Drosophila melanogaster: one gene and its partners. The gene in region 2 interacts genetically with the main gene of each other region. Each region holds a gene or a part of one and is shown on either strand. Other genes may lie near its edges. The genes, in order: ninaE, Dark, Diap1 and rpr.

The links.
Region 1: of Dark (region 2) and ninaE, changing one suppresses a phenotype caused by changing the other (phenotypic suppression), as found in Drosophila melanogaster (one study listed by BioGRID).
Region 3: of Dark (region 2) and Diap1, changing one suppresses a phenotype caused by changing the other (phenotypic suppression), as found in Drosophila melanogaster (4 studies listed by BioGRID).
Region 4: of Dark (region 2) and rpr, changing one suppresses a phenotype caused by changing the other (phenotypic suppression), as found in Drosophila melanogaster (3 studies listed by BioGRID).

What each region holds. Positions count from the first base shown.
Region 1 is NT_033777.3:19,882,450-19,889,775, reverse strand, and holds ninaE (neither inactivation nor afterpotential E), read left to right. Parts: upstream 1-1,569; 5' UTR 1,570-1,745; coding exon 1,746-1,753; intron 1,754-1,816; coding exon 1,817-2,377; intron 2,378-2,552; coding exon 2,553-2,700; intron 2,701-2,758; coding exon 2,759-3,036; intron 3,037-3,104; coding exon 3,105-3,231; 3' UTR 3,232-3,521; downstream 3,522-7,326. Other genes in the region: Ask1 (apoptotic signal-regulating kinase 1), read right to left, coding at 4,045-4,282, 4,348-4,620, 4,681-5,580, 5,921-6,067, 6,131-6,933, 7,000-7,326. UniProt on the Drosophila melanogaster protein: Visual pigments are the light-absorbing molecules that mediate vision. They consist of an apoprotein, opsin, covalently linked to cis-retinal.
Region 2 is NT_033778.4:17,016,732-17,027,562, reverse strand, and holds Dark (Death-associated APAF1-related killer), read right to left. Parts: upstream 7,537-10,831; 5' UTR 7,322-7,536; intron 6,174-7,321; 5' UTR 6,163-6,173; coding exon 5,773-6,162; intron 5,652-5,772; coding exon 5,014-5,651; intron 4,961-5,013; coding exon 4,837-4,960; intron 4,774-4,836; coding exon 4,583-4,773; intron 4,479-4,582; coding exon 4,234-4,478; coding exon of another isoform or gene 4,226-4,233; exon of another isoform or gene 4,175-4,225; coding exon 3,985-4,174; intron 3,912-3,984; exon of another isoform or gene 3,866-3,911; coding exon 2,272-3,865; intron 2,211-2,271; exon of another isoform or gene 2,205-2,210; coding exon 2,085-2,204; exon of another isoform or gene 2,030-2,084; coding exon 1,883-2,029; exon of another isoform or gene 1,819-1,882; coding exon 1,135-1,818; 3' UTR 860-1,134; downstream 1-859. Other genes in the region: Paip1 (Poly(A) binding protein interacting protein 1), read left to right, coding at 8,655-9,500, 9,764-10,597.
Region 3 is NT_037436.4:16,046,710-16,054,719, forward strand, and holds the start of Diap1 (Death-associated inhibitor of apoptosis 1), read right to left. Parts: upstream 4,326-8,010; 5' UTR 3,749-4,325; intron 3,595-3,748; exon of another isoform or gene 2,875-3,594; intron 2,801-2,874; exon of another isoform or gene 2,526-2,800; intron 138-2,525; exon of another isoform or gene 1-137. Other genes in the region: Mbs (myosin binding subunit), read left to right, coding at 6,597-6,851. UniProt on the Drosophila melanogaster protein: Anti-apoptotic protein which functions as a caspase regulator, using its E3 ubiquitin-protein ligase activity to smother caspase activity. Binds, ubiquitinates and inactivates initiator caspase Dronc, and effector caspases Drice and Dcp-1.
Region 4 is NT_037436.4:18,395,670-18,402,193, forward strand, and holds rpr (reaper), read right to left. Parts: upstream 2,767-6,524; 5' UTR 2,567-2,766; coding exon 2,369-2,566; 3' UTR 1,866-2,368; downstream 1-1,865. UniProt on the Drosophila melanogaster protein: Activator of apoptosis, as well as grim and hid, that acts on the effector Dredd.

The DNA of each region.
Region 1 (7,326 bases), on a different chromosome or scaffold from region 2:
ATTAAATTCGTGAAATATACAGAGCATACTTTCAGGTACATACACCCCGAACTCAAATCTTTATCGTTATCAATACACGATCAACATAAATGTATTATTGTCGTATTAAATATTACAGAGAAGGGCATTCAAAGTGCCGGGTAAGTTTGGTTCTGCCTCTCTAGTTTCAAATTTGCCCGCCTCATTGAGCAGGAAAACAACAAATTCCCCAACAATAACAACGTCTACGGATCGCAGCGTTTATCTCGCTTATTTGCTAATGCTAAATGATCGTCTTCTTCCCCGCCTTCGGCGGCCTTCTTCCACTTCACATCGCAATGTTTGTTGCAAGTTGGCTTGTCCATATGTCTCTGTTGTTGCTATACCCATTTCGTTACTTGGCTTTTATGTTTGGGCCATCTAGCAGGTGGGCGGGGGACTTTTGTTGTTTAGCGAAACCCGAAAATGCCGAATAAATTGAAATGCGATTCATGGTTTATACCCAGATTATTTGTATATATGCATACACAGAACTGTAGGTAAATACGTAAGTATGGGAACCGCAAGTGCGGCTAACGATGACGCCAATATAATGATCATGATGATCAAATTGATGGTAATGATAATGGCGATATGAGCGCAGCTTCCGGTTTTGCGCCTCGGTATTTTTGTTAGTTTTTTGCGCTGGCTAACTTTATATGAATATTTATTACCTGCGCTTTTTTTGTATTGTTTTGCGGTGTGTAATTGATTTAAACCGAAAGATCTGCCGACATGTGTCGACTGTCACACCAGCTGACAGTTATTTCGGTTTAGTTCCATATTTGGGTTGGGCGCAAAGCGTGGCATCCCATTTGGCCATTTGGATTAGCCTAAAACTTGACCCAATTCAAGCTGATGTGTTGAGCCATCGCACAAAGGCGAACAAAAGGCTTTTATGCCAAAGCTGGACTGACAAAATAAAATCCAAGCTGCCCACACCAAAAAGAAAAGAAACAAAACATGTTCGGAAAATTCAATGGAGGTGCGAAAAGATCAATCAGCACAAAAAATCCATAAGCGGCTTAGCGTCTGGGGTGTTCATATTCTTAATTTAAATAGATTATTTTACTACTTCCAAAAGCTGGCATTCTTTTTAAGATAATCCAAGATTAGCAGAGCCCTCAAGATGTGCGTTCATCGGCGCACACACTGCGTATACTTGATTGCGCATACGCACTGGTGTCGCAGGCGAACGATACTGATATTTCTTCTGCTACGATATGTTTTCATAATATTCTTCAAATTTGTCTAGGCATTGACACATTAAATCGCTGACTTTCGCCATTGCTTTCTGCACAATCTGGAGACTCAAGAATAATACTCGGCCAGAACCCCCAGTGGAAACCCTTGAAATGCCTTTAACTATTGACATTGGCCCATTGCGATGTGCGCTTGCTTTCGTTATGGATATTATGATTATAAGCCAAAAGCTGTCGACACTTTCCTCTGCACATTGCAGACATATTTTTAGGCTGGCCTAATTGAATTTCAAGAGCAGGGGTTACACGAGCACCGCGAAAACTATAAAAGCCATGCGGCAGAATGCAGACATTGCAGGTTTCCAACGACCAATCGCCGCGACTAGTCCGCCCCAGTGAAATATTCAGAATCCAGGAACCCTTTATGTAAAAAGTGTTAGAAATATTGTTAGTGAATTTGCAGCTTTTTATGTAGACAGTGTGATATAGGCGGGATATAGTGACGCAGCCAGTAACCAAAACACAATGGAGAGGTACGATCGGTGGATCCACTGGATGTTCTGGTTAGCAATTTAACATTTGCTTCGGTGTTGCAGCTTTGCAGTAGCAGCCGCGCAACTGGGGCCACACTTTGCCCCCCTGTCCAATGGATCGGTGGTGGACAAGGTCACGCCCGACATGGCCCACCTGATCAGCCCGTACTGGAACCAGTTCCCCGCCATGGACCCCATTTGGGCCAAGATCCTGACCGCCTACATGATCATGATCGGCATGATTTCCTGGTGCGGAAATGGCGTGGTGATCTACATATTCGCCACCACCAAATCACTGCGCACGCCCGCTAACCTGCTGGTCATCAACCTGGCCATCTCCGACTTTGGCATCATGATCACAAACACGCCCATGATGGGCATAAATCTGTATTTCGAGACCTGGGTGCTCGGACCCATGATGTGCGACATATACGCCGGACTGGGCTCGGCCTTTGGCTGCAGCTCCATCTGGTCCATGTGCATGATCTCCCTGGATCGCTACCAAGTGATCGTCAAGGGCATGGCCGGCCGGCCGATGACCATTCCGCTGGCCCTGGGCAAGATTGCCTACATCTGGTTCATGTCGAGCATTTGGTGCCTGGCGCCCGCCTTCGGCTGGAGCAGGTGAGTCCTTGAAATGGTAAACCTTCTGGGAACCCATTTTTTAAAAAATGATCAAAGCTACTATATACAAATGTTTAAAAACTTAAATTACAAACAAAAGGTTTACAAATTACAATTGTATTAATATTATTACCACCTAACATTATCCTATAAATATATATTCTTAATCTAAAAGGTATGTGCCGGAGGGTAACCTGACCTCGTGCGGTATTGACTACTTGGAACGCGACTGGAACCCACGCTCATACCTGATCTTCTACTCCATCTTCGTGTACTATATTCCGCTGTTCCTGATCTGCTACTCTTACTGGTTCATCATTGCTGTAAGTGGCGACGAGACTCGCATATCCCAGTCGCTTAACCCGATATATCCTCCCACAGGCTGTCTCCGCCCACGAGAAGGCCATGCGCGAGCAGGCCAAGAAGATGAATGTCAAGTCCCTCCGCTCCTCTGAGGATGCCGAGAAGAGCGCCGAGGGCAAGCTGGCCAAGGTGGCTCTGGTCACCATCACGCTGTGGTTCATGGCGTGGACACCATACCTGGTCATCAACTGCATGGGACTGTTCAAGTTCGAGGGCCTTACACCACTGAATACCATTTGGGGAGCTTGCTTCGCCAAATCGGCCGCCTGCTACAATCCAATTGTATACGGCATCAGGTTGGTTATGGGCTATGAAACGTATATACCTTAATATTTAACCAATTTTTTATTTTCATTCCGTATAGCCATCCGAAATATCGCCTGGCCCTCAAGGAGAAGTGTCCTTGCTGCGTCTTTGGCAAGGTCGACGATGGCAAATCGAGCGATGCCCAATCGCAGGCCACCGCCAGCGAGGCCGAGTCCAAGGCATAAATTCTTTGGCGCAACAACCAGAACAGCAACAACAACAACAAGAACATCTAACTACTTACAACAGCAACAACAACAGCAACAAAAACAACAGCAAGAACAACTGCAGCAACAGAACGAAACGCTTTCGAATAACATCAAAAACTTCAACAATAATGAAAAAATTATGCAACTTTCTTACATAACAAAAAGCAATGTAAACTCAGTTATTAAATTTCCTGCAATGTCAGTTAAGGACAAAAAAAAACTCAACAAAAAAAATAAATGCAAACGAACTAGAAAAGTTATAAATTAAAATGAGCCTTTTCAAAACATAGTATATCTAACAAAAGCAGCTTTTAGCGTGGAAAAACCCTAATGACGAACCTACAAAAGTTCGGATATCAACTTTCGGTTATCTTTCGCCTTTAAAGTTTGGAGAACCACAACAAATTTGAGTTTATTCATTCTTATATGTATAATAGTCTTCTTCAGAAGCTATAAATCCTTTCCAGTTAACAAGAAATACCCCTTTTTTGCAAAGCACTTCACAATATATTATCTATTTCAGTTTTTGTTTTCTTTTTTTTTTAAATTAAAGGCACTTATGTAAATTCCATTTTTATAAGTTAACATGCAATCGTTAAAACTGGACACACAGACAACGCCTTTTCGAACTCAAAGTTGAAAAGACATGAGTCAGCATGGGAGAACTTAACCCAGGGCTGCTGGAGACTCATTGAGCTGAGCCTCGCAGCGGTTAGTAGCACATGGAGAACATTAACAATTAATCAGTAGTATCTGTAAAGGCACAACTCAGAAAGCTTTCAACTCCAGTCACTCGCTGCACGAATCGTACTCGCTTTCGCTTTTCTTGATTTTCGTTTTGATGCCCGGCGTTCCGGGAGTTGTGGTTGTGGGTGATGGTAGCGTATTGTTGTTGTCAATAAGCGCAAAAGAGCTATTGCCTCCAATGGGTTTGTGGTAAGTGCTTGGTGGACTGTCCACACAATCGGACGAGGTGCACACACGTTCTTGTATAATGAGTTTCCACAAACGCACTTCGATGCCAACGCTGCAAAATACCAAAAGTTAGTTGAGCATGGATTAAGTGTACTTTTCTTATAAGCTTTAACGCACCGCAGACCCAGCCTCATGAGGTCCAGCTTTTCCATGTTATAGATAAAGTCGTCAAATGTAAAACCTTCATTCAGGATGAGCGTCTTTGAGAACTCGTCTATTTCCTGCTGGGTCAACCACTGCTCCAACTGCTCGTCTACTTCGTGAAGACCAAAGTGATGCTTGTTTAGCTGCCTCCGGGGATTGCCCGCTATATTCGGACGGACTCCGGACGTTCCGCCCACACTGGTACTCATTCTATGGCACTTTTTGTTAAAGCCGTTTATTGTGCGTCTGTTAAGATGAAATTGTGAATTATAATAAAATTTACAATGTCCTACTTGGTTTACCAACCTTAATCTCTTTCTGCCGCCCATGTAAATGTGAGCCAGCTCCTGACTGATATTATGCAGGGCCCTCATGCTCTGCCGCTGCTGCTCAAGGAGCTGGCGTTGCAGCTTCTGCTGATTGTCACGGATGTCTCTCAGGATGCGCGCGCACTCCATCGAACTGGACAGAGCATCCCCGCCCGATTCCGCAGGCGTTAATCCCACACCTTCGCGAGTGTTGCTCGTGGGAAGAACTTTTTCCAGGCTCTGCTTTTCCTGGCTCTCGGTGGAACCCTTCTGCATTAGACTTGTACGCAAGCTCTCATCATCATTTCCAGACAGGTCTTTGTCCGCCAGATTGGCGCCCAGTTCAGGAGAGAAAATAGTGACCGCCGCCTGGACGGCCCGCTTAACCAGATTATCCAATGCGAACATCCAATGGGGTTTGATGCAATGGTACCGCAGTACGCAGACCACGGCGTCCTGAAAGGAGTACAGCGCCAAATGAAGATGGTCCAGAGCAACTGCGTCGTTGTTCAGCTTTTGTTTCAGTTCGTTGATAGTCGCTTCCAAATGCTTTTCGTTTTCGTTCATAATGTAGTCCCGCAGTCCTCGGATTAGAACCTCCAAATCGCTTTTCCTAATCGCAATCGAGTTCTGATCAGCGTCGACCTTCTTCAGCCAAATATCGCAGATCTTGGATTCGTCTAGTGCCAGCACCTTGGAAAGCGTTGTCCGCCTCTGCGAATCCTTTTTAAGCCTGTAAAAACCGTCAGTCTCGCTCGTCTCACTAATGCTCGTACGCAAGGACGGCGTGGAAGGTTCAATCTCTGGCGAGAGCAAAAATCCATGGGAATTTCGCCGTTCAAGCATAAACTGGTTGCTGGGCAGCTCGTCAATGTCCACCGAGGATGAATGCGTTATGCTGAAATAGGAAACAGAAAGTACAATATAAAATTACGTTTATTTTACAATACATCAAGTGCTATCTCTTCTCAGTATCAAAATCCGAGTGCGCATTTTCCAATCATTAAATATGCACTTTACTGATAGCAACAATCAATGTGTTAACTACACGATAAGCAAAGGCACTTGTTACTCTTATAATAGTAGACGATATGGGAAAATATAGAGAAGCACGGAAAAATTTTTATATTCATTAAAATTAGCAAAATATAAATGATAATTTTCAACAGATAAGATAACCTCTGCTTGTAATTGAGGAAGGTCGAACATGATAAGAATAGTCGCAGCGTTTAACTTACTCCAATTCCGGCGTTGTGGGCGTATTGCAGGTTGTGTTGTAGCTCAGCGGCGGTGTGGTTTTGTGCACAAACCGATCAGCCGGCACCGAAATGCTGCGTCCGAACTCAGTATTGATGGGCAGGGCTGGGCGCACCTTGCGGGGTTTACTTATTGAGAAAATTAAAAGTGCAATTAGAAAGGAATTAGGCAAAACAATTAAGCAAACTCACTCTTGTAGGAAGGGATCTTCCAGAAGTTGCGAGGCGGAGGGTCGGTCCATCACGCTGATGGCAAAGCAACGCAAAATAAAGTTCTTTGCGTTGGCGGACAGCTCCTCGGGTATGTTCGGATGCTTCTTGTAAAAGCCCACCTTGAACATGGCCGCATGGGCGCTACCCAGCTCGATAAACGGTGGTTTGCCCGTAGCCATCTCAACGTTTGTGCATCCAAAGGACCAGATGTCAGCCGCCGGGCCATAGCCGCGTACTCCCTGGTCAATCACCTCCGGCGCCATGTACTGCAAGGTGCCCGTAAAGGTCTCCGTCATCGGGTTGATGCGGGCCAGCCGCTTGGAGGTGCCGAAATCGGAGATCTTAACCACGCCGCTATACGTGTTAACCAGCACGTTGTCACCCTTTATATCGCGATGAACAATGTCCTGCTCGTGAAGGTACTTCAGCCCCTCGAGGATCTGCTTGGAGTAGAAGGCCATGGTGGACTCGTTGTCCTTGAGCGGACCCCATTTGGTCTCTAAGAGGTCGGAAAGCGATCCTCCCGGCACCTGCTCCATGAAGATCTTGAAGAAGCCGTTCTCCGAGCACGATCCCAAATAGCGAACTATGTTGCGATGTCGCAGCTGAGAGTGTAACTTAATCTCCTCGTGCAGTGGCTGCACATCCTGCGAGTTCTTTTCCGGCACCTCCTTAATGGCGATTCGCACCTGCGTCTGCTTGTCCCTGGCGGCGTACACGGTGCCATAAGTACCTTTGCCCAGCACCATTTTGCGATTCTGCTCATCGTAGTCGTACTCGTACTACAATTAATAATAATTAGCAAAAGTGGCCGGAATATATGTATATATGAATAATAAATAACTTACCTCGATATTAGCGTCATCATTGCTGAGATTGACAAACACCACCTGATCTGCAGTCATCTCCAGGATCATATCGTAGAACTTTTGTCGTCGTTCAGTGGAGGGAAAATATATTTGAAAATCATCTGAGTTGTGATGGACGTACAAGTAGGCACAACGATCATCCCTCTTGTAAAGGCTGACGGACTTGATCTTCGATGCCACGAAAAGGAAGTCGTGGATTTTCTTACACGCATTCTTTGCGTGAGCCAAACAGATGTTCACAATCTGAATGGACTTCTCATCCGCATCCATGTTTATAGTCACATAACTGGGCATATAAATCTTCTG
Region 2 (10,831 bases):
AATTTGCGTACAATATTTCCTGGCAGTTGCAAGCTCGCGATTTTGCCATTGACGAGCGTGCACAAATGCACTTAAATATGTATGAATTTTACGCCAGTGTGTGGGTGCGCGGAATGCATGTAGTCACTTTTTTTATTTATTGCTTTTGTTGCTGCAGTGAGCTCACGCGTAGCGAGTTGCGCATCATTCTTTCTCTGCTTCGCCACTTTCGCCACGCACTTACTTAAAACGCACTCGTATTGTATTCCATAAAGACACGAAAAATGTTTTTATTTTTTTCACTTATCGCGCCATCAACACGCACACGACGTTCTTTTCTTTTCAGCTTGAAAATTGGAATGAAATGACGAGAAAGAGCGCATATCTGCCAGTGTTGAAAAGGGCTTTAGTTCGGTACGGAATTCAGTACCTAAAACTGGTACAAACAAGGTACCTTGCCGATGATACAAGTTAGCTATTGGTTTTTATTCATTGTTTTAAATGCTTCTTAATATATTTCGTACGTGTGTTCATTAAGGCAATGTGTGTAAATCTTAGCTTATAAAAATTATAGCCCAAACTTGACTTGAACTTTTTAATAAAACCAAAATGCAAACATTGAGGCCAAAGCCTTTTTATTAATTTAAGTCAGCTTAGAAGTAGACGAGCCACAATCCAGATACGTACCTATTTATTGGACCGCAACACTGATATCCATACACGAACTTAGCAGCACTGTCCCGGGACCAATGCTTTTGCAACACTTGATCTGGCGTGCCTGGCAGAAATCAAAACAAACGCACAGCACAACCACCCACACAGACATGCATGCATACATACATACGGACAGCACAAAGAGCAGACAACAAAACCGCGTTCTGTGTTTTTCGTGAAATGTCGTTTATTTGGTGGCGGTTACTCGCGTTGACAAACAAAGGCAGGGCAACGCACCCACCGCCCTCTGAGATATCATACTTGGTTAGCTGCATACATTCGCAAATGTAAGCGCCAACAACTAATGTTTGCCTAGGACAAATCCGGACCCAGGAGGTAGAAGAGCAAAACCATCAGGTAGTAGAGCAGTAATCCTATAAATGCCATGTTGTAGTTTGGACTTTCCTGTTTCGTGCGCCGCCTAGGGACGCACTTCTGGCGTCATGAACTGGCCTCCTCCAGAATTGGTGTCGCCCTCGCCACTCCGCCGTTCTTCTCCAGAACCAGGTTGCCAACTACATCAGCACCCTCGCTATCCGAATCCTGCATAAGTGGGCTGTCGAGAATTCGAAGATTTTTTAAGTCTTCATACTGATTGGCAATATCCAACGTAACTGGGTCAGGTGGAGGTTGAAGTCTGCTTAACTCCAGCAACTGCAGATGGTAGTAGACACCCTCGTCATCTATGGCATAAAAGTGGGAGAAGTGGGCGTCTGTGAAGAACTGACGAGCTTCATTTCCCACAAATTTAACGCAGGCCAGGAGTTCCGGACGGATGGCATTGCCGCGCTTATTCCGCCACAGTTCCGCAGTCCCTCGGTTCACCGGATGAAACTCGTCGGCAACGAATGTCACATCTACATCGATGTCCGCTGCAATGGGCGCCGCATCCACAGCATCCTCTTGTGTAACACTGTGCTGCTTATGGCGTCGACTGCGCCGCCGTTTTTGCTCGCGCTCCAATTGATTGTTGCGCATGTGCGTCACATTCCAGAAGCACAGCTGCTCCGCGCAGCTGATCAGGAGCAACTTACATGGCGAGAATAGCAATTGCCGGATGCAGTGCTCGTGGACCTCTTCAATGCTGTAGATCAGTTGAACTTTTCTGTTTTCAACGGCAAAGAGCTGTTGGGAAATGTATAATTAGCAGGAAATAATTATGAAACGAATTTGTAAGACGTATGTATACCTCTAAAGTGCCATTTTCGAAACCCATAGCCAACATGGTACCATCATCCGTGGCTACCAAATAGCTGATCTTGGCCTTCTGGGCGATCTCTTCTTCGCAAATCTGTTCGTACCTTAGTTGGTTACAGCTGAATATTAAACGGAATACCTGTCGTTGGAAATAATTGATAATTGTTTAATGATATTATGTTTAGCAAACCCACATCGATGATGTTGTTTTCGTAGGCCAGAAAGAGAAGACTGTTCTTTAGATCAAAGCCGACAATGTATTCCTCCGAATCCTTTGGTTTCACGAATGCAGATGGGTTAGCTATATCCAGATGCTGTTGGTAAATATTGAAATCAAATACTGCACTTTTACTCGCATAAACTTCAATTAAGAACACTCACACAGACTCCGTGGTCGGAAAACAAAATGATATACTGTCCTTCCTGCAAGGACGCGTACTTGGTACTAACATCCATCATCAATGGCCACTGGTCATTGGGTTGCAGCGGATCTATCTTTTCCAGCTGGAATATCACAGTCTTCTGGGCACTGTGTGCCGACGCCACCAGAATGTTGGGACTGACCTGTTTGAGGTAATCAATGGGCTCCTCTATAAACTGCTGAGGTAGCGCTGTATCATGAATAACATCTATTATCACTCCGTCCACATAGCCAACGAAAATCTGTTCGTCGTTAAAGGCGGATATGGCATTTATCTTACAGTTACTGGCAGCATGAGTGGGTGTGATTGTGGACCATTCGGAAATTCTAGAAATGGCCGGTTTAATTAGGTGAATGCGCTCCTTGGAGTCCACAGCCAGAAGTTGCGTCCGCTCTCTGGTCATGTCCATCAGAGAACGCAGATAGACATTAGGCTCCAAGCAAGCCTTTGTCATCACGCTTATCTCATCTGCACTGTGAACCCAGGCGATTTCCCTGTTTTGATGTGAATTCGAGCCGCTTACAGAGCGCAATGTGTGCACATGGACCACCTGTTTTCCCTTAGCGCCGCACAAAACAATGTACTTATAGACAGGATCAAACAGCTCGTATATATCCACACACTCTATATGTTCGCTGACATTGCTGCGTAGCACGGGATCAGAGATTTTCAGATCATACACAATAAGTCCCTCGGACGTGCCCAGCAGTAGGTAACGTCCGTCAGTCGAACGCTTTCCGCAGGTGATGAAACTTCCTTCTGGCAGTTGCACTGCCTCCGATTGCAAACTAACCGAAAGACCTGGCAAAAAATTGAGCCGCCATACGCTGTACTTAAAAATCAGCAACACGGTGGCGGTCTTACTCCTTTCGTCAAATACATCTAAGGCCAACGGCGTGTCGTTTTCGACATTAAAAACATGTAGTTCCAGCGTATTGCTGGAACCGTTGGTCAAATCCCATACAGTAAGTGTGCAATTTGAGGTGCAGACCACGTAATATCGCTTTAAAACCTGAACGAAACACCGTATTCCCGACTGCATCGTTTTCAAAACAGGCACGTGCGACAGTTTGAACTCCTGATCTTGTTCGTCCCAATTCAAAATACTCACATCACCATTGATGAATGCCACATGCAGTTGGATGTTGGCCTCTGGCAATCCGGCGTCTTCATTTAAATAGAAAGCAACAATTTTCAGATTTGCATAGCTCCCTATAAAGCGTTTAACCACGCTATTGACTAGCTGCTGCTTGCTACCACCACTGTGGCGCCTTCCTGGACAATCGGGCCACAGGGACCAAAGTTTTACGCTGCCGTTGCAGTGCAAGGTGATCAAGTGCTTCTGTTGGTTAAATACCGCCATACGCAGAATGTCACTGCTGTCGCTCTCGTCCCTTAGCAAATAGGTGTCCTCTCCCTCCAGCGAAACATCGGTTAGCAGGATCTGCCCGCTGGCCAGCGCTATCAAGCAAAAGTCGTTGTGAAGGTAGACAGCATGGCGCCCCTCATTATCACCCAGGTTTATAATCTGACGGTGCTGGTGGAAACGACCGCTGATAAAAGGAAAAAGTGAAATAATAATAATAAAGTAACTTTAATATATATACATTTCATTATTACTAAAAATGACAGCTCTGTTTGTTTGATTAGTCAATAGCTGGTAAGTACTTACTGGTTAGTAAACCAAACCCGATCGTCAAAGCGCTGCACTTGTTTATGGGCTTCTTCAAAAATCGCCTCATCCTCGGCCATCAGGGCAATCCTAAGCAGGTCCGTATACTTTGAACAAATAAGATTTTCCTCAATCTTTGGCAAAAAATCCAGAATAGCGTTGACTAAGCGCTCATACTTTGGGTCATTGTCTGCATGAAAAAAAGATTACATTTTTTTTTTGTTTCAAATGATTCAGAAATTTACGTACCGCAAATATATGGCTTGTAGAACTTCAGCTGCTGTAGCGTGTTCAAGATCGATCCACTGGCATTCCAAGCAGTTGAATCGTGCCGAATCTTTTGTTCTAGAAAACGGAAATCTAAAAAGACCATGCGAAAGAGAGTCATCCGTTCGGGGTGCTCAATGTTTTTTAGATGATGACCGATGTGGCTATAGAAGTATTGGTCCAGGTAAGGCGGTATCAAGTCGTCGGAATCGAATGTTTTTGGGATACTAACAAAAAGGTTAAAATCACTCAGTATACGGCTTACTCGTGGCTTAAGGTTAATACATTTTAGCAAAAATTCAAGATATCAAGAAAAGGGCTAGGAACATACTTATAGTGATCTACGATACTCCGATGAAGTGCATATTCGTTTTCAAGCTTGACTTTCAACTCCAAGTATATGCTGGGTATACTTATGGTTGACTCTTTTGGTTGCTTCTCCACCAATGAATATTTATGAAGTTTGTTAACCACTACCATTACATCGGATTTGATAACATCAAACCATATCAACGATAGGAGCTGTTCAACAGGAAGTTGATAACGATTAGTAGATGTATGCCGTAAAGTGCAGTGCTCACTTACAATAGTGGGTATGTGGGCTGATGGAGGGAAAACTGACAGTCTATCAAACATTTTTCTATATTCAGCGGGCTCCAGAACGTTTAGAGAGCTCTCAATGATGGTCGTCAGCTTATCACAGTTTACACTACAAAAAAAAATTATGTATTTATTCAGTGTGAACACTCATAATCCACATACTGTTTCCAGTTGTCCCAGGTCGCCAGACCATCCCGAATGCTCTCAGCAATAATGCTTAGTCTGCGGGGATTCGTTGTCAAAACTTCCCGGGGCAAATCCTGTGGTCGACAGTCGAGGTACTTTAGAAGCAAAGACTTAACCTCATCCGGCGTAAGCGTCATCGAATGATGATCCAATGAAATATGAGTTGTGGTAGCTGCCGAAAGAAAGTCAGTGACCTGCTTGAACCGTGTGGTTAGCAATATCTTGCAGCTCAAGTTGAAAGCATTCCAAGCCTTGGCATTTTGCACATTAAGCAGAACAAGGAGACAATTCTCGTATGGCTTGCTCTTGAGCAGTCGTCGCAGTTCCGCCTGAATGCTGTGGATTCGAAGCTTTATGTTACTGCTATGATCGCTACGACTTGTCCAGTTGGGATCGATCTGGTAAAGTAATTTCTGCAGCATCTCTAGCACGGTCTCCGGGCTATTGCAGTTCTTCAAGTTAAGCCAGAAGATCTTAAAGTCCATCTTGCATTGCACTTTGTACGATAGGCACACATCCAAGGCTACCCAAGTCTTTCCCGATCCCAAGACGCCATCAATCAATACATTTTTCGCTGGGCGAAGTTCTAGAAGAGCCTGCCTTAGCTTCAGATACTGAAATATAAAAAGTATTGTAGTATGGTTAGATAACAATTCCACAGAGTAAAATTGTTTTTCGGTTTCGTACGTTGGACTTCTTTGATTGTTTTTTTTTTCGAATGGGAGATTATCATACCGGTTGCAGGCGGCTCACATTGTACTTGGCGAATACTTGGTTGTCGTTGTACAGACGATCTCTCTGCTCGATGTACATCCTGGTCATCATGCTGGGCTGCCGTTGCTCAGTCTTGATTGGCGACATTAAGAATTTGTAGTTGATCCTGAGAACTTCCTCCACAAATTTCTGGACCATTTCCTCCTGTTTAGAGAGCAGTGTCCAAAACAAGCGAAGTGTGCCGCTGACTGCATCCTTAGACATGATGATGTGGTCAATTTCCTCCTTGGACAATATTGATTTCGGCATATCCTGGACATCCTTGCAGTCGAAGTTGTCGACGAATGCATCCTCAAACACGGACAAAATGTCCTTGTATTGGTATTGGTGCTCCCCAGTTTCAAAATCCATATTCGTGTTACCTACATATGTAAATATTTATATAGTAACTAAATTTTATAGCTATGTTAGAAATAATTTATTGGCATTGGGTTATTTTTTGTGGTATTTTCATTAATTACAAAAGAAAATGTTATAGTCGAGTTTTCCGGCTATTAGATACCCGTTACTCTGCTGGAAATTTTTATCTCATAGAAATTCGAAAACAAAATAAATAGAAATAAAAATTAAAACGGTTCAAAAGTGTGGCCGTGACAGTTTTGAGCAGTTTGTGGGCGTTAGGGTAGGCGTGGCAACATGGGTGAATAAACTTGGGCTGCGTCTGTATCTCTAGAATCTGTATTCTTAATATCAACCTTCTAGCTTTTATTGTTCCTAAGCTCTCCACGTTCACACTAACGCAACCAGATCGAGTGTTCTAATAATAAAGCTGAATCAAATCCGAATCCCTGTCTTCTCCTTGGTCGGGCAATCACACAAATCATAAATTTGGTTGGACCAACCAATAAAAACTCAGGTGCAACTCTTAGCGAACAGAATCAAGAAAATCGAAAAAAACAAATCAAAACAAAAAAATGTTCATTTCAAATGCACATATGTATGCATGTATATGTGTACATACATATGGCGGAATTTTTGGCGCCAAGCTTGGCCCACTTTATTTGAATGCACCGTAGACGGCTTCTCGAGGAGAGAAATGCGATACCATGGATCTATGAGATCCCTTATCTGCAAGCTGAGATCGACTGGATCATCGGTAATTTCACAACTAATCGACAAGGACGCGAACGAGATCGCCTCTAAATAGCTAGGAATACGTGAGCTGGCGGTGCAACCATCGAAAAAGGCAATTCCGGTTGCATTTTTGTTCTCCTCCGCTCGTCAATGTCGTAGAACCAAAATCGGATCGAATTATTAATCACCAGTTAGATAAGCGCGTAAAGGCAGAGAGAAGATACGTCACTGAGTTTGCCGTGTGAATGAACTTGTTATGTTTGTGTGTAAGTGCTCTCGCATGCAATTGTTTCAGTCACACACACAGTGCCTTGGATTTGTGATTGACGGGGAGGCACAAGGCCCAATGGAAGAATTAAACAAATGGACTTGTAGAGCACAGAAAACGAAAGCACTACAGGTACATAAGCTTTCACCTGCACGCATATTTACTTACGCTCGCCGTTTATTTTTAACAAATCGTCGTCCTTATTCGTATTTTGTTGTATGTGTAAGTATTGCACTTTATCCTTAATATATAGTTGCTCCGGCTTGTTCACATTGTTCTAGCACATTCTAAGCGAAACACTAAAGGCTTGAAAAAATATAAATAATGTACTAATCTATGCTACTCATTGAGTAGTACTCAAAAAATAACAAAACGGAATTTATTCGACTGTGTGACCGTTTTACGCGAGGGAAATAATATCGAATTATATATAGGGTTGTCAAGTGGTTCAAAAATGATTTTAATCGTAATCTGAATTGTAATTCGATATTATATTGCGTGATTTAAGATATTGAGAATTTGTATATTCTTAATAAGAAATACAATTTACATTACGATTAAATTAATTTTTGAACCGACAACAAATAATATATAATAATAAATTCTTATTTATATATTAAGAATTTCTTATTATATTTTAATATATATTATTTGTTATTAGTTATTAATTTGTTATATATATGCCACCTTATATATATATGCCAAATATATATCTCTTTTCCAACTAGATCTAAGATTATAATAATACCATGATTTTCTTGTACGAAATGAAGTAGTTTATCTAATGCTTATTTTCTAAAAAACGGTTTAGCACTTATTACTTTATTTAAAGTGTGACCATATTGAGCCGTATCGATATATCACAGACAACAAAGGTATTCACTGCCAGGTAAGTTTTCACTAGCCACTTGCGACCACACCGACGGTGAAAAGGCGAAATAATAAATTTTAACAAATTGCCGCAGTGTAAATTAAAGGTGCGTAGCATTTTACATTCCCTTTCAGCGGTCACCGGCCGTCCCGCCCCCGCACCGTCCAATTTAACATTTTTTACGGCCAGTAAAACGTGCAATCCCACCCAAAATCAGACACGAAATTCGGAGCAGCGCATCAGAGACGCAGACGAGAAAGTGACGACGCAGCAAAACGAAGCAACAAAAACGAAAATCGGCGACGTACACATTCAACTTGAACAAATTTAAGGTAGGCATTGCAATTTCCCCACCACCACACGGTAGAGTCGGATAGGTCGTGTCCATTTCAATGGGAAACACCGACTGACCCGGCTGCGGAAAATAAAGAGATAAAAAAAGAAAGGCGACAAACCAGTGGTAGGAAAACAAAATGTCCGCAACTCTGTCTGAATCGGCGTCCCGAGGCTTGCAAACGTAACCACGCTGGGGAATGCCCTGGCGAATGTGATTTGTCTTTATTTAGATAAACTAATCCTCATCCATTACTTTACTCTGATTGGTGATTTGCAGTTTTCGAGTCCAACGCAATGTCATGCCGCGCCCCCTTCCAGCCCGACGATCAGTATGAGCAGCTGCGCCGGCCGAATGTCGGCGGAGCAGGCGGAGTGGCCATGCCGGGACTGGATCAGCAGGCGCATCTCTTTGGGGAGTACGCCGGAGCGCAGGCGTACGGTCAGGTGGTTGGCAATTTTCCTGTGCAGGCCATGCAACCCCAGGCGCAGACTCTGTCCGATGCGTCCAATCTGTCGGCCACGGCCACAATTTTCATCCCTCGAGGAGCTGCTCCCCCGCAGCAGCAGTCGCGACATCAGCAATACCAGCAGGCTGGTGGAGCCGGTGGAGGAGCTCCTTATGGCCAACAGCAGCCGCGCTATGTGAATGGTTTTAAGCATCACCATCAGCAGCACCACCAGCAGCCGCACTACAACCATCATCACAATCATCAGCAGAAGTTCAACAACGATATGCAGAAGCTAACGAATTCCGTGCAGAATCGCCTGCACCTGAATAGCCAGCAGGGCTCAGCCGGCAACTACTATCAGCAGCAGCAGGTACACCAAAACACACACCACCACCAACAACACCAGCAGCAGCATCAGCCACACAACCAACACGCCAAGTTTCAACGGCACTTCCACTTGAATAACTCATTCCAACAAATCGTACAGCAAACACAGCACAACCAGCCGCAGCAGCCGCACCACCAGCAGCACAACCAACAGCAGCAGCAGTATATTCAGAACCAGAATCAACAACCGCAGCCATCCACTTCGACTGCGGCGGCCTCCTCGTCGTCCTCGAACTCTTCGCAGCCGGACATGGCCACCATAGCACTGGAGTATCTTGATACAGTCATACATTGCCTTAACCAGGTGAGAATTTCGATTGATAAGCTATCAGGGCAATTATGGGCTTCCTTTGATTTATATTTTTAGTGTTTTATGATTATTTAATCAATTTTAATAGGTGTCAGCTTAATATTTTCTTTAAATATAACAATATATTTAAAATCAATATATTTATGCTCGAAAGTAAAAAAAAAAATCAGCTGAAACATTTCAGTCTAGTCAAACTTAATCTTAAGTTTTAAACCTAAATTTCCTACTAACCAGACATATTAATGATCTCCATCCAGAATCCGGGCCAATTTGATTCGATTGCATCACGCTTCCTGACCATTTTCGATGGCATGGAGAACAACCAATTCGTGCTCTCCATCGCCATGGAGGACATCTTCGAGAAGTCGATCGAGCAGCCGAACTTCCGGTACATGGGCGCCAAGCTGTACAACCTGCTGCACATGCTCAACTCGAAGCCGGACTCGCTGTTCCACACGCTGCTCAAGTGCAAGCTTGACTACCACCAGGAGGAAGTGACCAAGTACATGCGCTCCAACGAGCAGCAGAAGGTTCGCGAGACTGCCCTCTTTCTGGCCGAGCTGTACATGCAGTTGCGCGGCGACGACGACTCGCGCATCCAGTTGATCGCTGTGAATATTGTATATTCGCTGAGTAAGCTGCTGGCCAGCGAGAGCAACGAAAATGTTCGCTGCCTGTGCCAGACCCTCAAGCTGGCTGGATATGATCTGACAGCCGATTGCCCCAAGGACATACAGGAGATCATCACCGCCCTGCAGGCGATCGAGCTGAAGTCGCCGGGCAAGTACCCCATGGCGGCAAGTGTAATTGCCCTGCAGCAGAACAACTGGGGCAGGAAGGTGTCGAACGCTCTGGGAGACGATGAAGATACAGTGAAGGAGCCGCCGCGCCTGAGCGATGAGCCCGTCTTCTACGGACCTGATGGCCGCGAATTGACTGCCGAGGAGACCGATTTTCTGGCCGGCGGGGATAATGATGGTGATGATGACTTTGATGGGGATGGTGCCGACCTAGAAATCGACGCGGAAATGGACGAGGAAACCGAGCGGGCATACAAGGAGTTCTGTAAGCAGGGCAAACAGAAGACCTAGACGACTGTGGAGAACTGTGTTGCATTGGACGGATTCATGAGGGCGTGGTCGTTGGCAGGATATAGCTTGGGTATAGGAGGGATGGTGGAGAGCGTAGGAGTGGAGCATTTCCAACAAATTCTCGGTTGTAGGATCGATGATTGCAGTTGCTTGGTTCAGAACCAATTGTGATTATCTTTTAAATTATTGATAGCAAATTGTTTGTGATATCTTCGTGTTTCATGCACCTATCAT
Region 3 (8,010 bases), on a different chromosome or scaffold from region 2:
GCCAACTATCACATTCAGTACCGTGGAATACTTTTTTTGTACTTTAAATGTATAAATTTAAATCGAGACAGCGCTCAAAGCGAGTTGTCCATTGTGTCTATACGGGCCGAGATTCGACATTCAACTGAAACGAAGCAACGAGACGAGCGCTGCCGAAGTCGATTTCGAATCCCTCGGCTTCACGCTAATTCTGTAAACATTTAAGGTTATTTTTTTCAGAACTGCCAACGAGAGAGGTAGACAGACACCCTCTCTCAGCTGCCTAGCTTTGGTGAGTGGAATGTTCAATGCAGTTGTTCATTCGGCCTTCCGCACTTTTAATTTTCTTGCTATTACTGAAACTTTATTTAGCCACTTTTAGTGAAGGCGGGGCCCATAAACGTTGTTTAGAATCAAACAGTCTGGCTTTTTATTGTGGGCAAGTTGAACAATTAATAAAAATGGACAAATGCAAGTGCATAATTTTGTTGTACTACGACTAGTATTAATACGTAAATCGTAATAGACGTACTACTGTTGCCTGTATGGCTATCCCTTTCGCACTCGCAGACACCGCAGCCAGGATCATTGATTTTTATCCTCCTGCAAGAGAGCGAAGAGCATGCGCCGCGCGCGTGTCAATGCACCGCATTTCCACCTCTCTCTCACTCTCTCTCACTCTGTCTGTCTGTCTCTCCTTCATTGTGGCGAGGAGGAAGGAGCAGCTGGAACTTTCACAAAGTCCACATATCAAAAAAGGTAGATTATTATGCCTTCGAATTCCGATCATTATTTTTTTAAACGAAAAAATGCTTTTAATGATACGGCTTGGCTGGCGGAGTGCCAGCTTTAAACAAATCGGCTATGCAAAAAGCTATGTATGGAAAAGAGCAAAACAAAAAACAAAATTAAGAGAACATCTCAAAGTGCAGGCTCTGTCCCGTACTCGGTCCCGTACTAGCCTGATTCAGGTTAAACCAAAGACACTAGAAGTGTCAATCTAATGATGATGAATTAATGATGAATCCGTCCTTATACCAAAAACTAAAGAACAAGATTTACAACTTCAATTGCAATGCCTTATTTTGAGTCAATTTCTTCTATGTCTTCTAAAATGTCAGCTTTTTGATTCGCTTTTAGGTTATAGAAAATAGGGTTCCCTGGGGCGGGGTTCTAATATATATATTTTGCACACAGTACAAGGCTGAGTAATTGCTACAGTAAATATTACGCAATTTTATGTACATAAGTTAGTATATGACATGATAAAATGGCTGATAAAAACTAATAAATGCGAAGAAACCACTAGGGATTCTTAAAGTATTTGTTGAATATATTTATATTATGAAATTTACAAACATATTTCTTGAATTGACGTTTTTGCCTCGAACAAAGTATTTGCAATGAACTATCAATAAGTAAAATATTTTTAAACGAAGTCCCAAGCTTTTCTGATTAAGCCCCTTTGAGTTATGAATATATATTTGGCAGGGGAAATGCCAACACGTTCTGATACTGTATAAACAAAGATTGCCAAGTTTGAATCATTTATGGAAAACAGCCCGGCTACAGTGCGCGACATGTGTATATGGCGTCCGCAAGCAAACGGGTTGAACTTTTCAAATTTTATAAATACACGCTGCTAAATTTACCACGAAAATGTCGCGACGCATTTGAGAAATTTGCCTATAAATGCGAAGTCTAGACGACTTTGACATGTTGCAAGTCGACACTGTTTGCAGGCGGTCTTCTGCTGTAAATTAAGCGAAAATGTGGCGTCTATACAAGCATTCTATTTGCGGATGCTGCCAGAGGCACTTCGGTTTTCATTTCATATTCAGCATCAAAAGATCACTCCGCTGACCACGCAGAGTTTGGGTCTCGAGTCGCCGGACAAGTTTTAGTTGAAAAATCCGCGGGCTTGGAGCTAAACGGCCTTGCAAGGCCTTTTAAAGTTGTTGCAACCGCCCTGTTCTTGTTGGTGCTGCTTTTAATGCACAGTTAAAATAGCCTACAGCGTTTTAACTTAATGTGTTGACAGCTGTTTAAGCTATTTCAAACAACTTGAGTCACTTTGTTGCTTTAATAATGAAACCATGCCAGCATTAACAAGTATGACTCAATAGGGATATACCTTAATTTTATCTATATATGCATGTATAATATTCATTTAAGATAAATATTAAGGAGCGTGTCAAAAGATTGCTGCAACTTTGTAATTCCTAAGTTCCTCATATTACATTTCAAAAGCTATACTCTACAGTTGATTCTGTTTATGTTATATTTTGTGGCTTTTTATTAACAGCCAACTGCAGCGGAGCTGAAAACCTGTTTGCCATTTTTGTATTCTCTTCATTCATTTGTGCGGCGATTGGCAAAAGGTGTCATAACAACGCGTTGGGCACGATTCGATTAGACTAGCCACTACCCATTGCTTATAACATGTGCTGCCTGTCGGTCCCTTTTCTAGCCACCATGTATTTACCTGCTCCATTCAGGGCCAAAAAAAAAGGAAGGAAAGAAAGCACCTGGATCGACAATTGTGGACGTGTGCCGGCAGCTGCAGCAACTAGGTAATAACCGATCAGAGGATCGCCGAAAGCGGAGCCAGCAACATCTGCTCCTGGGGCAAGGGTCCTCATCCTTATTGTGCACGCTTCCAGTGAAAGGATCGCGCGGCACATGACGACGCCAGCTGCCGTCGATCCTTTGTCAGGATATTTTCGGTGTGTGGATGTGTGGAACAATCCAATAATGAGCCTACCGAACTGAGGTGTCCCGCGGATCTTTTGCTGTCAAATGATGGAGCCTCAAAAAGGATGTATGTATATTGTATATTTAAGTTTATGGTGTAGTGGATAAATACTCAAAAATAATTTTATTCATCATTTTCAGGGGAACACCAAGTGAACTCATCAGTGAACTACTATTTGAAGTAAGGAATTTGAGAGGTTATGACATTACTCAAGTGACCTAATTTCCTGTGAAACCATCTAGTCACCGTTACTAGGTATAGATTAGACTTGCCAGTTGACAGTTGTTTTAAACAAATATCTCACGAATGAATGACGCAAAACAGAATGCAGCGAGGATATATGAATTTCGTTCTAGTAAAATAAGTGAGGTAAGCAACTGATGCTATAGGCAAAACCCCATCAATCATAGGAACCTACGCAGCGCTGTAAATGGAAATGACATTGAGCGGTAATTAGAAATTGGAAAATTCTAGCTAGTAAACGCGTTCCACGAATGGGTGGGTTTTGCAGCATGGGGGTGGTGTTGATTTCATCATGAATGAAATGCGATGCGAATGAGCTCAGCATCGGCGGAGATAAAAGGTACAATCTTAGTTAATATCCAGGCAGAAACATGTGCGACAGACAGATTTCATTCCAACCCATCCCTCAAAATGACAAGCTAGCACAAGAGCGAATAAGATAAGACGGGATCCTGACATATGCCTAAGTATGTATGTACATGTGTATCTCGGCCTCCAGATTGTTTTAGAAATCACTAGAAAACGCCAGAGAGCGGAGAGCGAGATAGGGAGAAAGGGGGAGAGAGAGAGAGTGAGAGAGGGAGGGATAATGGTCGTGTCCCTGTTTATGTGGGGGTAAGGACATGAATGAAAAAAGGCGTGTTGGAGAGAGAAAGGTAGACAGGCGGCGCCTATTTGTATGCAGCATAATTCAAGTATAGTAAAGTAAACCCATTTTGTTTTTTCTATAAACCGCGGGAAGATTGAACACACATATTTATATTTACTTACCAGAGACATTTTAAACAGTGATAACGTATCAGTTTATCATTGGTTTTTTTAATGCCTTTTTTCGGCCACCAAATCGTTAATTGTTTTCGTTCACCTCTTATCGCACCACGATAAGATTATAAAATCACTTAAAATAAGTTTTGCTGTATAAAATGTTTACACAACTGTGCTCACGTCGACTGGTGGGTTTGAATGCCGTGCAACGACTACGCCAAAGCTATGTGCCTATATAGCTCACTTTCCTATAGGTATTTGTTTTGTCGGTTCTGCGTTCTCGTTTTGTTTTGTTTTGCTTGGCTTTCTAGTGAGCGAGAGGGTGCTGGCGGGGGAAAGAGAGAGAACTAGCGGGGCGGAACGGTCGAAATAGTTTTTTGCCGCCCAAGCGATGCGCAATTATTTTTGGGGGTGGGATGTCCGCACTTTCGTTGGCTATTCCAGCTGTGCGTCTCTAAACTGGAATGTTTTTTTTAAAACTTTTTTAAGTTTAATTAATAACTATTTTGCAAGCTATTTATATTTCTGAATATATTAAAATTTCAAAAACAAACAACTGTCAGCACACGAAGTCGTAGTTTTAAATAAATGCTAAATGGGGTCACACTGTTCAAGGTGCTTGGCTCGCTGATGTATCGATACGCGCTAAAAAGATATCGATAAGATGCATCAGTGGGATCAAGTCTACGCTAGGCCGTCAGCAGCGTTTTCAACCAACATTTATCGAATAAAACGGTTTGGAAATCGAAACGGTAGTTCAGGTATAACACATATACAAAATTGAGCCACTTATAGAACAAGGGTCTGTTACCCGGTCCAGTAACACCGCGAAAACTGAGCTTATTTCGATTCATCAGAATTAGAGCCCCTAACATTTTGTCTTGATTTGACAAAAAAATTAGTGGAACAAACAGAAGAACCTTCGGCATACCGAGAACTCCCAGTAAAAACAAAATACTTTGATCAGTTTGGAAATTTATTTTAACATCAATTGTTTGTTGTTTCGGTTTAATAAACTTTCGAGAATTCTTAGTATCAAACCAGGAATAAATACAAACAATTGAGGGAAGCCACAATTAGAGAAGTTGACCAAAAACAGCATTTTTTGAGTTTGAAAGTAAATTGATTCTGTTGTATCCTCTTTTTCCTTTTTGTGTTTTATATAGATAAAATTAGAAACGGTATTAATATATTTAAAAAGTTGTTTGAAAATTGCATTGTATGTGTTTTTGAGGCACATCAAATATATCGATAGATATGGCCGCATCTATTTTTGAACTAAATGTAAAGAATTGGATGCAAAAAGAACGCATTTCTCCCGAATGGAGTAATAAGACGAACAATTACGAATACCCTAAAATAATATTGATAGTTTAATTAACATCGTTAAAAATATCGGTCCATAACAGCACTGCTAAGTGTTAACATAACTAAGACGCCATCTACAATTTTGTGAGCGGCGTTAGTGTGACCAGGCGAAAAGAGTGCTAAATATACCGCGCATTGCCCTCCGATTCACATCGTCAAAAAATTTTGGTCTGTGAACTTCGTGCGGATGAAATTCGATTTGAACGCCACCGAAAATATGCAAAATAAAGTGAAATACCAGTGCCTCGCGGACGAGGAGCGCTTCAGCGGAGAGTCCTGCAGCCATTAAAGCCCAGAGAGCACTGAAAGTTCTGGGAATTTCGCGGGAAAGGTGCGTTTTTCGCTTGGTCTTTCGGTGTGTGTGAAAAGTTTCTACTGCAATCCATTTTTCTCTACGTGCGTGTGCGGCATACGTGTGTATGTGTTGCGTCTGTGTGCGAGGCGAGTGAATGTGTGTGTGAGTGTGGAGTGGAATGTAAAATGTGGGGCGATGTAAAAATGCCTTTACATAAGTGCACTCGCATTTGCAAGGATTTTGTGCAATACCGCCATCCTGCCAAATTACATAAAATCATCGCATTTCAGTGCGTGAAAAAATACGCGGTTTCCATTTTTGTTCTATTTACTCGCGACGTCAGCGTCGCGGCTGTTGAATTTATGTCAAATTGGTAACACACACACATGCAGGCTCAGCCATTCGCGCTCTCCGTATGCAAGCCCTAACTGCATGAGTGTGTGTGAGCGGCAGAGAGAGAGAGAGAGCGCGAAAGGGAGAATGATAAACAAAGTGTAAAAAAAACAAGCGGCTGCTAAAATGCCCGCAAGTGTTTTTAATTGATATGAAAATGTGTTTGCTTAACACTATGTAGCCCAGCAGCTGGTGGCTCTAAATAAAGCATTTGCAAAATATTAATTTCTCCTATCGTATTTCTTAGTTTTTGCCCCATCCTCTTGTGTAATTTCCATTGAATGCAACAACAAAGGTGCGCGTTAAACAACAACAAATAGCATTGTTTTGCGGGAGAGCGAGTGTGAGAGAGAGAGAGCGTTCCTGATTGCGACATTGTGTGAGTGAGCGGAGAAGAAAACGCCAAGAAGTTGGCTGATAAAGCAAACGCACACGCACGCACGCACGCGCACACACACGCAAAGAAAATAGAAAAATCGTAAAATAATAATAATCAGCAAGCAGGAAAAGAAGAAGCAGCAGCAGCAGCAGTACAAACAGCAAAAGTGTAGTCGTGATCGAAAATCGAAAGTGTGAAGCATTTTCTATAAATAGTGCAAAATCAAAACCCAATTCCCATTGCAAACAAAAGCGCAATAAAGCAATTACGATAGAGCAATAGCGATACAACAGCGCTACATACAAAATCTACACACATCTGGAGCAGTCGAGCGATCTCACAGAGCGCGTGCTCTGCAGCAAGTAGCAGGATTATCTGAAGGAGCAGATCGTTCGTCTGGCCAAGAAGGATCTGCCAAGATGTCCTCGCTGGACGCACGCAACAACTCGGCGATGATGAAGCGCGCCGAGCAGCTGAAGCGCTGGGAGGAGTCGGACACAAACCGCGCCGCCCCCACCCCCCGGCACGAGCACGGCCGCAGGATCAAGTTCAGCTCCGGCTGTGTCTTCCTCGCCGCCTGCCTTTCCGGCGACAAGGACGAGGTCGTCCAGCTGCTCGACCAGGGCGCCGACATCAACACCGCCAACGTCGATGGACTCACCGCCCTGCACCAGGTAAGTCTGCCAGTAATCATCATTCTTTCACACTTAGGAATAGTCCTTATTGGGTGGTAGAAAATGTAACGTTTGAATGGTTATACTTTGCTCAACTAGTCAATTTGTAAATAAATTTAAATTAAAGAACATACAATAAAATAAAATATATTTTAAAGCTATCTTTAAAGATATAGTACACAGATAGAAAACATAAAACATTCGCTAGAAGAAAAGAAAAAGACAACAGTCTTTTAGTAGGTATTGATAATTCCCACTTAAGTAATCGTTTGCAAACAGACATTATTTTCTTGTTTGGGTAGAAGTGGCGAGTATTAGCAATTCTATCAAGGGTTGCATTTGCAGCAGGTGCAATTTCCAGTTAATTAAATGTGAATATTCACACTGCATCCCCTATCACCAGGGATTGATTTCCCACTTTAGAAGGCGGCTAGGCGTTGCGTCAGTCTGCTGCAACTGCGATCACGCGACTGGGCGAGGGGGTGGTGGGTGAATTGGGGGCGGGGTTGGGGTGGAACGGGCGCAGGGAGCTGCAGTTTCGACACTGTTGCGTTGCGTCCAACTGTGGTGCTGACGTGAATCGCACTGTGGGTCGAATTCCATGGGGTCATGGGATCAAATTATTAAAATGCTACAAGAATATCTAGCAGCAAACGAAAAGTATTACCTTATTGTTTCGTAAGGATTAACCATTTAATTTTTATGTATACTTCATTTAACTTAAGAGCGTTTAAAGTAAAACAACAAATTAAAATATAAAGAACAAATTACTAAATTGATTAATTTTACAAGATTTTCCATCGAAGAAGATAAAGAACACAGCATTATGACACATTGACGTTATTATTTAGGAATTTTTATAGGATATTCAATCAAGGTCAAGAATGATCCATCCTGTTTAGACCCACTGTGCAGCGCCGTTCGCTAGACGCTCGACCATTATTGTTGTTGGGTATTTCGTGCTCTTTCGCCGCCGCAACAATAATTCGAATTTCGAATATTAACAAATACAGCAAATACATGGCTAATGCAAGCCGACGATTTACAAGTCGAATGGCCAGAACGGCATAGCCAACAACAACAGCCACAAGCAAAAGGCAAACGGCCAAAAGCATTAAATAAGAAAAATACAAAATGTTCTATTTTTAAACACCCAAGA
Region 4 (6,524 bases), on a different chromosome or scaffold from region 2:
TCATTAATTTCTGCACGAGTATCCGCAGAATCGGACTATTTGTGTTCCTTCCTACCTTTTACCTGTTCTATTCAAACAAAAAGTATGGAACGAAAAATTGGCTAACATGCCAGACAATTATGTGGAAGGTAAGCAGAGCGATGGAACCACAAACGGATAAAGATCAGTCAAGGCTAAGACCCCAAACATAAAAAAAGGGCTGCACCTCTTGACCGAAAATAGTTCTTGGAAATTTATGGATAAAGTTTTGTTTTGATTCGAGTTCACTTAACTCTAAGCGGGCTCCATTGTATTTTTTGCATCTTTTTGGCATTATTAGAAACACTTTTCGAACTAATTAACAGCAGAGACAGAAATAAAAGTTTGGAAGAATTTGCTGCTAGGGATTAAATGCTTTTCGTCTGTGATTTTTACAGCACTTCGCTTACAAATCGCTCGACGTTTGGCGCAGCTTCAAACATAATCATAAACTTGTGTTAATTATTTTTCATATGCCACTCCGGCTGGCGTGGGCAAAAGTTTTATCTGTTTAACGTTAATTAGTTTTGTTTGGCAAAGTGAAATTTCTGATTTCTTTTTGCGCGAGCTTTGCCAACTTTTATTAACTTTTTTCGGGCAATCAAAGTGAATTGAACTGCAGGATGTGCAAGGATATGGCAGCTGCATAAGTGCAAAAGTTTAATTAAAAGTCCTGGCCGCGTTCGCGGAACACAGAGTCATATCCTTCGAGCTGATGACGAGACCCTCAAGAATTGCACATCGAATTTTTCCCTGCCATTTGGCGCTTGCCAAAATTAACTTAAAAATGCAAATTGTTTTGTTAGCACCTAATTTTTTGAAATTATAGAGGGGAAAAGATGTCAAGACTGCCGTAGGGGCAACTCCCCCGCCTGCTCTCTCTTGTTACAAAGTTTCTGCATCGAAAAATCTTGGCAAATATTTTTGTATTTCCTTTTTGCATAATTGAATTTTCTTTGTGTGTTTTCTTGCTGCCGTTTGTGTTGAACAATGTTGTCGGAGTGGCTGAAAAGTTTTTCTCAGAGTGGAAAAGTTGGACTAAAAGACTCATTCTCCCTTAACTTTGCACATTCCAAGAAATTGGGAATTCATTTTTTTATATTAAAAATAAAATATCTAATGGTAGAAGTGGTATTATTATATAGAATTATAATATTCATACATATCCTAATTCAATTGATGTGATTGATCTTAACAATATTCCAGTTTTTGGAGTTGATCTAGCCATGTCTAAATATACATATCGATAAGATATCGAAAACTAAAGAACAATGAAGTTTAAATAAATCTATTGTCTGGAAAGTGACTAATAAAAACGTGGTTTAACTTTCTACAACAAATAGTTTATATCAAAACTAAAAATAATGTGGTTAAGATTCTATTATATGTAATACCGATTTATAATTATATTCGTTCTACAATAATTCAAGAAATTAGCTTGCATTAATATTATTATAACTAAATTATTATTATTATTATAATTATTATTATTATTATTATTTCCGGCAATATCAATCTTAATATTTTATTAAGATATATTTCAAAGCGGACTCTGTCACCGAACGCCGGAAATCAAATGAAAAACTTTTTCAAAACAAAAAAAAATCTTTAACGTTTCCTAACCAAACACATGTAAAATAATTTTCACAACCACCGATAATTTCACTGATTATTAAACAGCCTTCTAGAAAGTTCCTTTTACCGTCGGCGAAATGAAATAAAAAATGTGCTTGTTCCAAACTCAGTTTTTCGAGACATCATCTTAGGCTTTCTTCGCTTTTTGTATCTAAATCTTATAAATGGTAATCTGAAAATATTTAAGTAAATGAAAAACCAACAATTTTTTTAGTTTTTGTTTTTGTTTTATTGACTTTTTGTTTGACAAAAAATTGATGCAATTTTTAGCCAACTTCGACTCATCTTCGTTTTTTTCTGGGGTTTCTTCTTAAAAAAAACTTAGAAAAACTCGTCTTACAAAAGAACTTACAAACTATTACAGTAGTAATTCATTTAAATAGGCTTTAAGAGTAAATTATTTCTAAAAAAGTTGATTTATATCATTGAAACATTTTTGTAAAAAATTGGGGACTTTATAAAAACGTTATTTTTTCAAATTTTTCCTCCGCTTTTTTGTAGAAACAAAACCATTATCACAATCGCTTTGATGAGTAAACTAAAATTGGGTGGGTGTTGTGGCTCTGTGTCCTTGACTGCAGTAGAAATCGAGTGCCGTCGGCTGATGAGTGGTGACTGTGTTTGGGTTTTGGGTTGGCTCATGCTTATTTCCTTTGTACTCTGGATTTTGGACTGGACTATTGGTTTTCCCCGTATTTGTTAGTTACTCGAATCCTCATTGCGATGGCTTGCGATATTTGCCGGACTTTCTTCCGGTCTTCGGATGACATGAAGTGTACTGGCGCAGGGTTTCCAGGACGACGGTGGCCAGGAATCTCCACTGTGACTCCCGCAAGCGAAGGATCTGCTGCTCCTTCTGCTCCGCCTCCCGCAACAGAGTCGCCTGATCGGGTATGTAGAATGCCACTGCCATTGTTGGTTTATCTTTCTTCTCGTTCGGAATTACACAACTGGTAGTGACTCAATAACTTTCTCTTCTGCACAATGAATATTTATCGAGTTAGTTCTTTGTTGCTGGCGCACACACTTTTCTTTCGTATTTTCGAGTTCGTTCACTTTGTTCTGGTGTCTCTCTTATTCAATGATTTTTTCGAGATGCGTTCGCTGCGATGGTTGCTTTTCAACTGAATATATTGAGTAGTGCTCCGAGGCTATTTATACCTGGTTCTCTCACGCCGCCTTGTTCTCTGTTTTTCTGGTGGTGGCTGCTCATTTTGGCCTTCTTCGCTCTTCGGCTCTCTGGCTGGGGTTTTTTTGTTTTGGTATTTCTGTTGACATCGTCTCATTCGCAGCTCCCAAAAAAGTACTACTTTTCATCGTGAGCGGGGGCGGGGCCACCTTGCGCCTGTTGCCAAGCGTGTTTTTGTATGAGGTTGTGTTGTTGTTGCCAGGTTGGTGGCAGCGCCTTTGTTGTAACTGTGTGCGGCGAGAAGTACAGTTAGCATATTAATTGTATTAAATCGTCGGGGCATGACAATCGTTTCTCATCAAGGAGTTCGACAGAGAAAGACATACAAGAGTTGCTTCACGACTAAAGTTTGGAATACCCTCTAAGATTAACATTATTTACACTAGCTACCCATTAGTGATTAGCAACTAAACTAAGCCGGATACCTGATAACAGCCAAGTACAACCATCTAGCCGGTTTCATATTAATCCTTCGAATTTCATTTCTTAAATATTAAAAATATTTATTTTCATCTATGTCAATCAGCAAAAAGTCCTTTTAGCTATTACCGCCAGTATATTTTCTATAATATGATTAAATTCTTGAATTGTAATTAATAAGAAAATTCCAACTAAAAATGATGGAAAAATAAAACCAATATTTTTTAGGTTGGACACATTGATGCTATTAATAGTACAACATTTAAAGTACAAACTATTTACATAATTAAGCAGAATAGCTTCTTGTAAGGGTATTATAACAAGTGGGAGGCGGATTCACTTGAAATATGGGCAAGTGGGCAAGGAAGAGTTCCGTTCCATTTCTTGAATTATTTTCTCTCTTTTCCATGGACCAGCCCACCTGCCATATCTAGATAGATCCCTCTTTATCAGTATCTCGCGCTCTACAAGTGTTTACACAATCATCCGAAGCTTCCGACTAAGAATTATGACAATGTCATAAATTAAAGGCCATATACAGTATATTGACAACAATGGGCTCGTCCCATTATATTTCGTGTGCAATTTTATTCATTTTCATTAGAGCGGAACCAGACGGATATGATATGATACGATATGAATGTTTTCGTTGGAAATCATACACGAAAATTTCCCTGCGGCTTAAAGTATTATTAATTGCCTTCCTGATGGATATGATATCCGAACAATGTATTCTTCCAACATATAGGAAGCTTATTGAAATTATCTTTAATAATATATATTCTGCATTATTATATATAGGTCGTTTACATTTTAAATCTCAACTGAAACTTTCTCTTTAATGACGTAAATACATATTTCATCATTTTTCATCGTATCTAAGTCGGATTACCCATAAACATACTATTGTTTTGTTCTTAATTTCGTTATGATGTTTAAATAAATTTCATATATATATGTAATAGAAAATTAGCTCTTGAAACTCCACCTGCATAATTCTAAAATCTTTTACCCCACCCAAAGAACCGCGATGAGTTTTAAGTTCCATTCAAACTCCACCCACAAAGCCGTAGTACCGTAATACCGTACCCACACACAGGCAAACAGCCGAATCTTACGACGTGCGTCTCAAGTGTTTCCACTGTGATAGAGAATAGCCATCACTTTGGGGGATGTTCTGCGTCATCGTCTATAGCGACCACCTCTCCACAGCTCTGATGTCTAGGTCTATTGTTGAAGGAACTACTCTACTTTCCTCGGCCGGGCGTGCTCGTTCTCTTTCTTTCACACTGCCGTCCTAGTCGCACAGCAGAACCATTCGACTCTATAGTTATTTTTTCATGAGTCTTTTCTTTCCGGGTTCGCGTCAACACACACATACAACATATATAAATCCGGGACAGTTGGGCGTGGCTTACGTTCTAACAGCGTTTTCTGCTCCAGCGGGCAAAAAGAGGAAGCCGAAAAATGGGCATTCCCTCTCTTTCGCACGTTTTGGGGGACGACCAATGTGGTTCAAGTTGGAAATTTATGTTTTGGGTCTGCTTTCGTTTTCTGGGGCGGAGTTTAGGTTGGGACCTTTTTTATGTAGCTGAATCATTGCCAAGAAGGGTGGAGCCAGAAAGGGCCTTAAGTTAACCGAAACATGGCTAACGTTATCCCTTAAATGTATGTCCTTCGCGGTAACCTGCGGTAATTTGCGCATCAGTCATAATTGAGGCTGTCGAATGTCAATTAGTTCGATGATTATCCTCTCAAGGCCTTTATCACAGACTTCATTCAGTTTTTCTTTCCTTAAGATTCTGATCTAAATCTCTAATTGCCCAATGAGGCGATATTTTCAAAGTAACAGATAGTTATCTACGATTTTGGGTACTTGTATTTTCTTAAGGGATAATGCGGGTAATTATTGTCATTTTTATTCAAATAATGCATGCCTCCGGTTGGGGTGCAACAGGCAAAGTCGAATCTCGACTTGTTTAATAACCCATATATCATTTGCATAGATAACTGCCTGACTTTCAATTTAACTTGTGTCTTGTGGCCTATTGAGTTTGTCAAATTGGATTATGTTTCTTCGATTGAGTTTTCAATCTACATGTTAAATGACCCACATGATACGATATTCATTCCTGGGAAGTGTGTCAATCGAATTTTCGATCTACCCGGAAGTTTGCCGATCCTGTTTCTGATTGGGATTCCAGAAATTCACTTTACATTTCATGAGGCATCCAACGTGATATTCCCAAATGAAAGCAAATTTTTAGCGATAATTTCATCAGTTTTTTTTTCTTACTCCTCTCCGCAGCTTGTGACGTGTCTCTGTCTTTGTCTGGGACTGCCTCAAATCGGTATGTCTTACATATCACACATTGTACGTACATATACAAAACATTCGTAACATTCACGAATGCTAATGAGTAATATCAACAATGCGATAACTTGCGCAATTCCCCTAATTTTTGCTTTTATTTTATTGTACCGTTTTATAGGGTATCTACAATCATTCTTGGCAAATAAAAGAAAAGAATTAAATACTAGATTGGCAATCATCTCTTTGTACCTTTATGATCAAACTGCTGTGTCATGCACAATACTCATCGTATAATCCGTACTTCAACCAAATCTACAGGTTGTTCATTATTAAATTGTTAGCTATTAGTTCCAACCGTATAATAACAATTTAGTGCAGTAGTTTCAGCTTTCTCTCGTTCCATTTCATTTGTAATTCTACTATTGGATCATTTATGTTATATTCAGTGGATAAATTGATAGCTTTTACATTACAATTTATTTTAGACCTATATTTTAAATTTTCCTATATATTCCCTGCATTACCCATTATTTAAATATTAAACGAAAACCGTTGGAGTAAAGTTGCAGGATTGGAACCTCCTTCCTCTATCCTTATATGCAGTAATAAAATAATTGGGCCGAAATCATCACTCATTCTTAAAGTTTCCTCTCAGTCAGGTTGCTCCCCCCGCCCCCAGCCAATGCTTAATAATATTCCAAGAATTGCGCAACGTTCTCGAACAGAATATTGTCATCTCTTTGTTGCTCCCGCACTGTTTTCAATCTCGAAAACTCTCAATTTCTCACACTTTGGTGTTTGGGTATCTTTTTCGGCTGCGGCTTCGTTTCGTTAATTTGTGTTAATTTTTTATGATCCCAACTGGTGGTCTGGTTTCTGGTCTCCCTTTCGATCTTGTCAGAAATGTATATTTCGTTTTATTTGATTTCCCATTTAGAAAGCCCAGAC